2 linked regions of the Bombyx mori genome follow. The protein of the gene in region 1 purifies or fractionates together with the protein of each later gene. This does not show direct contact. Links are inferred from orthologs where the notes say so. Each region holds a gene or a part of one and is shown on either strand. Other genes may lie near its edges.

Region 1 (3,358 bases):
GTTGATAATGAAACAATGGTGCTTACTGAGAGATCAACGAACTTATTTTGAAAATATTCTCGAGTGGCAGCCACACACGACGCAGCTTAGATAGACTTTCGACGAGGTGAACTGACGTCCTACTGAAAGTCGCAGGAATCTAATAAATACGGTCGCTGCACGTCTAGGAGTGGATGATTTGTGTGAACACGTCCAATGTTTGTTTGATTTTTTAAAACTTGTGCCATTTCACATGTATTCAGTGATTAAAAAGCTTTCATTACTACAAAATTAGACATTTTATTACAGATACATTCGCGAAGCAGTTGCCCTTAGCTGTTAGATCTCCTACGGAGTCGTGGCCAGGTCAGGCCTTCGGTACTTTGGAGGATTGGCTTGTGCGGCTTTTCGAAGCCTGCCTTGAGCCCGGACGGAAATCGGACAGATTCATCCTTCTGAGGAAAGAGGAGCTCCTCTAGGAGTCATCCGTGGTGTACCACCACATCGTGTTGCTGGACGAAACTAGAAAATTGTTGGAGCAAGTCGTGGATGCGTCATCTGCCCCATCCCCAGGACGGGTTCCAATCGGTCAGCCGAACAGTACGGCTTCAGAAAGGGCCGGTCTACCATCGACGCAATCATGCGTGTGTGTACCCTCTTTGATGAGACTGTTGCCCGGGGCGAGGTGGCAGTTTCCTTAAAGTCTCAGTAAATAACCATCATTTTACTTAGATTTCACGCCAATTGATTATTGTTTCAAATTAATCAACTCTATTTCATTTTACTTCATATTATCATTTTTCATAAAATACAATGATAACTTAGGCTGTATCGTATGATACTTTTGCCTTTCCAGTTGGAAAAATAGAACTACTACAAATATTGACAGTGGACAGTAGCACTATTGTCAAAGAATAGTGTTATATTGATAAATGTAAATTAATGATAATAATGTCAGACTTAGGTGGTGGTACCGTACCTACTGTACCTACTGAAATATTCCTTTTAATTTGCTTACATACTCTTTTAACGTAAATAAATAGGTACGACTGTCACGGAAGGAAAAAGATTGTTATTGTAAAATAATTAGGTGCTTTTTATATTAAACTTAGTGTAATTAAAACTCGTGGACCTATTAGTCAATGTATTGAAATGTAATTCAATTTGGTTTTTTCAGTAGAACAAAACAAATTCAAGCTTCCAAACCACAAGACAAATTTCTTTTTCGTCTTGTTTATATTCTACTGAAAATGACCATCCAAGAAGATTTAACTCAATCCGAATCCCCACAAACGGATTTAACTAAGGTTTTAAATTTGGAATTATTATTATTTGTTGTAAAATTTAATGCAGTACAAACTTCACGGCCTTGATTATCTTTATAAACTTCCTAATTCTAGAAAACACAATATTTTTTTATAAATGAGAATAATTTATTTTTAATATTTAAAAAACAAATTGCAGGTTGCGGCATTACATCAAAAACGTACATTGGCATTTGTAAATCATTTCCTAACAATAAATGTACAATTTCTGAATAACTTTATGACGAATTGCGAGCAGAAACTGATGCAGTTTGAGAGAAAATTAGAAAAAGTTAATGCTGCCATGGTTTTGTTAGAATCTAAGGTGATTATATTTTTATAAATTATTGTATGTAAACAAAAACGGATATCTAAAATGTTTTTATTTTCTATCATTAGTCATAATAAACCATTTCTGCAAGACCTTCTCTGGAAAGCTGTTGATTGATCTGATAAAGTAAGAGCAGCCTATTGATATATTTGCAATGCATAAAGCTTCAATTGAATTAAAAAAAAAACGGTCTCCTACCAGATTAGAAATTAGACTACTACTAATTTTAAGATATGGCATCATTGCATTTCACCATAATCCTTATTCAGGTTGTGTTTATGCCATTTCTTTAATTGCCCATGTGCCTCAAAAACTTCATTTTAATTGATAGCATACATCAAACCGATACATAAATAGATAAAACTTATTGATTTCAGTTATCTTCAATACCAGAATTAGACATTCCTAAGCAGACAAATACAAGTAATGTTACAGAGACTGAATCTACTGAAAGTCAAAATGAAACAGAACTCCAAGAAGAAAATCTAGAAAGAAAACTAGAAGACCAAGCCCCAGCAGAAATGAAAACTAAACCTGAATATGATAAATTTGTTAAAATGGTTCAAGTAGGAGTGCCATTGCAGGCAGTGAAACTCAAAGTCTCGTTAGAAGGTCTCGATCCTGAAATACTGGAGCAATTAATAAAATAAAATAATATTTTATTATTTACATTATTGTGTTGTTAGCATAGTATGATCAAATAACCATAGTGTGTAAACCATAGTTTACTTTTATAGAACAAACAATAGAACAGTGTATTCTGTGATACCTCTAATCTAATGGGATCATAAGTGTAAAATTAATAAAATAAAATAATATTTTTTTTTTGTTTAATTGTAATCAACGTATAGTTTAGAAAATATTATCTTTTATCTATAAAAATATCATTCTAATTGTTAAAATTGTAATGTTTTTGTTCTTATCGTTTTAAATAATGTAATAGGCTCAAATATTTAAGTAGCATTCCTTAATATTTTTATGAAATGTTGAAAATGTTGTTTTTAATAAAGGATTTTATAATCATGCAAGATTATTGATCACATAGAGGTGGACCTAGAAAAAAATCATTAAATACTTCTGAAAGTTGATATATGCTTACTATTTTAATTAATTTATTTTGTGAAACATGTTGTATGCGATTTATTCCTTTTTTTGCAAATAAATAGTATTCTTATAGGGGTAGTAGGTGTATTGATTTATGAGAGATTTATTTGACGTAAAATTGGCCATGTCAGTTAGATTGTGTACAATCATGCTACAGAGATACTATTATATTATATTCTAGTAACAATAATAGGCACCTATAGGCATCAAATGTTGTACCATCCTAAGTAATTGCAGAAATAGTTCTCTGCCAGCACCCTGATAATAAATAAAAATAAGGCTGGCCATACCATTAATATTTTTATGAGACATATTAATTAATGCTAAGCATGATTTTTTTATTCCTACTCATAGAAGTTATAGTTATAGTATTACCATACGATGTGGATGGTAATAAAGTATAGGTGCAATAAATGGGAGGTTTTAAGGATGCATCTGGTCCAAAGTGGTGACCTTGATTACATATTGATAAAGTTCTTAGAGCAAAACCAAATTAATCTGAACTTTTTGTCGAGTATCCAATAAGATGCTAAAACAAACTCATATTTTCTAATTTACCAGCACACCACCTGTCAAATTGTCACCATTGCAAAATTCATTCCTTTATTCATCCATATTAAACGCACAAATACAGTCACTC
Region 2 (3,880 bases), on another chromosome or scaffold:
ATTTTTGCGGATTTGGTTTTTATTACACGATGTTATTCTTTCACCGTGGAAGTCGATCGTGAATATTTGTAAGTACATATTTAATTAGAAAAATTGGTAACCGCCTGCGGGATTCAAGCATCGGTGCATCGCTAGATATGAATGCACCGGACGTCTTATCCTTTAGGCCACAACGACTTCAAAGAGTCGCAGTCTTCGCAGAGTCCTTGACTACTTCGGTCACAGTGTAAAGAAGAATGGAAGCAACCTCGAAAGGCTCAATAAGTTGGGCCGACCAGATCCGCCCTGCCCATGGTCCGACATTTCACAACGCCCTCCACACCACCAGAAAAAGAAACAGGTGGAGAAAAATCTTACGAGAAGTAATGACATAGAAATAGTGCAATAGGGAAATAGTGCAACGAAGAATGAATTTTAAATTTGAAAGTGGCAATAACTTGTCTTTTAAATTTGAAAGTGGCAATAACTTGTCTGTTAAATATAAAGTAATTTAAAAGGAAAAATTGATACCAAAATAAATGTCGTTAAGTGTGTTTCTGATCTTATTTTCCATGTCTTCCACCATGCGCCCAATATTTGCAATGTGCGGAGTCACATCACTTACTGTCGAGTCTTGTTCTGCCTGAAATTCAAAAGATAATCTATAATATTAAAAATACGATATTATAATTTTAGAGTAAATGGATAGAATACAGAAAGTCTGAAAGAGGCACATGGGACAGAGAAGTTAAGAAGTGTGTATTTGGAATGATATGGACATGTAATAAGACGAAATGACAATGAGATTGTTAAGAGTTTTAACTGTGAATGTGCAAGGCTTTAGAGGGAGAGATAGACCTAAAAAAATTGGATGGATTGAGTGAAAGATGATATTATGTGTAAGAGGGGAGTAAAGAAGAAATAGTTTATGATAGAGGAGTATGGAAGGAGAAAACATGTTGCGCCGACCCCAGGTCACTGGGAGTAGGGCAAGAGAATGATAGTGATGATGATGGCATTATAATTTTATTAAGATTTGGGGATGCAGTACCAGAATGCAATTGTGAGGCTGCAATTGCATTGTTGTTGTTGCATAAATATAAAAATAGAACTCCTGCACAATATTATTAAGCTTTGTGCATATAAAATAAAACTAAATTTACCTGTCTAGTCAAACTGCCTCCAAGGTTCATCGTGCCGCTGCTTTCTTTATTAGTCTGAAGCCACAACATTGCAGTCGAGGTCAACTTGTAGTGAGCATTGCGTCCTGAACTCTTCTCGATCACCTCCACTACGTGGATTGAATCCCAGCATCCTTTGATCTTTTGGGAACCATCTCCAGCTTTCTTGATTAATATTACTCCTGAAATTGTTTTGTTTATTTTTGTATTTGTAATTATTATTTTTAAATATTTAAAGGTGGACTAAATAATGAAATATTAGTGTATAGATGAGTATTTTATACTATAAAATACTATTATATACACTAATATTTCATTAATCATTTCAAAGAATTAAAATAGAGTGTCAATGAAAATAATGAATGAAAAAGATGATGCAATTAAACATGAAGATTAATGTTTTATGTGAGAGATTATTTAACTAAAAGTATAAAAATATTACCAAATTAATATTATTTACTCTTTATTTAAAAGTAGTTTTTACACTTTATAGAGATCCATACCCAGTGGTGAAATGAAAGATAGCTTATATTTATTCTTAGAGCTCAAACTATTTCCACAGAATTTTGTAAAAATTGGCATACTGGTTTAGAGATGAAAACATAACATATAGACAGTTACTTTCATATTGTTAATGATATTTGTTATAGAACTTTTAAGATCAAAGAGTATAAAAGTAAATAATAAAAGTATTTAAAATTAACAATAACTTTCTAGCAAAATTAAATTTTATGAAACTCTTTATTGATCTCTAAATTAATATCTGTCTATATGAAAGCAAAGTGAAAATCCATTCAGAAATTCCAGAGAAGTGCTTCAACAAACAAACAGATTAATATAAAAGAACTAAAAATTGCTAGTTTCTGTTCTACTAGTCTTCTTTAGTTGCCCCCTAAAGTAATAAAAATACTATTATTACTTTTCTGTAATGCACAGCCACCCTGGAATTTACTGTTCTAATACATGTCTTTAATTTACAGAGACTAAATTAAGAGTGCTCACCTGCAAAGCCATGATCCATATCCCAAAGGTAGACTGAGCTAACGCCACCTTCAAAGTACATCTCTCGATATTGATCAAAGGCGAGGTTGGCATCTATTTCTAGTTTTCTCAAGCGTTCAGAGGGCATGGAGCCATCATCTAATGGTGGGTCGTAAGTATTCGACCAAGGAGACCTATAGGAGTCACCGTCGCGATTGTAATCGCATAATAAATAGTCTTTCCCGTTGCTACGATCCTGAGCAATCTTTAGAGGCTGATCTACTGATGATAATAGGTCGTCACACATACTCGGAACGAGATCTATCAAATCTGTTAAATTCTTTTCGATCTGCTGAGGGGGCAGCCTCCGCATCAAGTCCAGTGCACAATCCATTTGTTGGTCACTCTGTAACAAAATATATATGCACGATTTTAGTATAAATACTTCTTAATTTCCTTGCATTAGTCATCACAACAAATAGCTTGTTATGATGTATGCCAGGTCACTGAAACTGGAAAGACAACTTACCATATTGAAGTTTTATTATTCGGATTAACAATTAATAACAAAATAACCAAAGTAGTATAATTATTTCATTAAATTAATAACTACAAGTTTTAAAAGTCCCAACCCGAAAATGATAACTTGACGTAATTTGACACTTGAAGTTTAGTAAAGTACCTGCATATGTAGTGGTAGTTATATTTTTTTCACTAGAAAGGCGAAGGGATTAACTTAATCATTTTAAAGTCATTTAACCTAATCTTTTGCATATTCTGTTTTATAAAAATAATATAAAGTAATTCATTTCGCTCTATATCGGGTGGTGAGTAGCTATTTAGTTTAAGCGACATTTCAATTAATACGCGACATTTATCTTTATAATTAAAGGTGCATTTTATTTTGTATCATATCAACATATCGATGTTTTTAATTGAGCTTCAATTAAGTTTACCACATTCAAATAGCTGAAGAGGTTTCTTTATGATATTTTTTTTCAAATTTTAAACATAAAATGGCTCTCGTGTAAGGTTGCAAAAATTTCGTTTAAACCAACAGCCTTTCATCCCTAGGTATCATGGATAGTTTTCCAATAACAGCACTAGAGCGCATTATGCGGCATAATGCTCAACGTTGAATGTTCCAACTACAGCAACGCTTCGCACAATCGAGCACTCTCAAAAGTACTGCCTGTCATCAGAGATTTTATTAATGGCTCAAATAACTCATCTGTTTCATTATCATAAATATTTTCAATAAATATATCACTTGATAATGAAATAATTGATTGATTTAAACTCGGAGCACTCGATAAATTATCGTCATCACTGTCATCTGGATAAGATGATTCAATTAAAAAGTATACACATCATTTTCTTAGAACTCATTTAAAAAATACTCAAAACGAAAAAAAATGTTAATGAAATAATCGAAATCCAAATTACTTAAAATAACCGTAAATAGTTTTCAACCAATTATTATTGTTTACCACATTATTTATACATTAATGAGGTTGCTAGCTCCGTAAATATTTTTTTTTCAACACTGAACAACAGCGCACTCTGCTGATGCATTTGAAAACTAATTCACGTTCCAATTAAGCTTCAGCATAATTCGGCATTGTGTGCCACTGAGTCGTATTATGCTCTGTAATTGGGAAACTACCATGAAGTTGATTAATTTGGAACATTAATCAATAGGAGTGAACTTAAATCAAACGAAATGGTATGGGATTAAA

The links.
Region 2: the proteins of WASH complex subunit 3 (region 1) and F-actin capping protein beta subunit purify together in Homo sapiens (co-immunoprecipitation; 4 studies listed by BioGRID and IntAct, with this or other methods). This does not show direct contact. The link is inferred for Bombyx mori from reciprocal best matches to the Homo sapiens genes WASHC3 and CAPZB.

What each region holds. Positions count from the first base shown.
Region 1 is NC_085118.1:943,689-947,046, forward strand, and holds WASH complex subunit 3, read left to right. Parts: upstream 1-873; 5' UTR 874-1,022; exon of another isoform or gene 1,023-1,069; intron 1,070-1,156; 5' UTR 1,157-1,229; coding exon 1,230-1,286; intron 1,287-1,443; coding exon 1,444-1,608; intron 1,609-1,991; coding exon 1,992-2,264; 3' UTR 2,265-2,637; downstream 2,638-3,358. UniProt on the Homo sapiens protein: Acts as a component of the WASH core complex that functions as a nucleation-promoting factor (NPF) at the surface of endosomes, where it recruits and activates the Arp2/3 complex to induce actin polymerization, playing a key role in the fission of tubules that serve as transport intermediates during endosome sorting.
Region 2 is NC_085109.1:2,866,895-2,870,774, reverse strand, and holds the start of F-actin capping protein beta subunit, read right to left. Parts: upstream 2,822-3,880; 5' UTR 2,674-2,821; coding exon 2,671-2,673; intron 2,548-2,670; coding exon 2,163-2,547; intron 1,343-2,162; coding exon 1,143-1,342; intron 623-1,142; coding exon 511-622; intron 1-510. UniProt on the Homo sapiens protein: F-actin-capping proteins bind in a Ca(2+)-independent manner to the fast growing ends of actin filaments (barbed end) thereby blocking the exchange of subunits at these ends.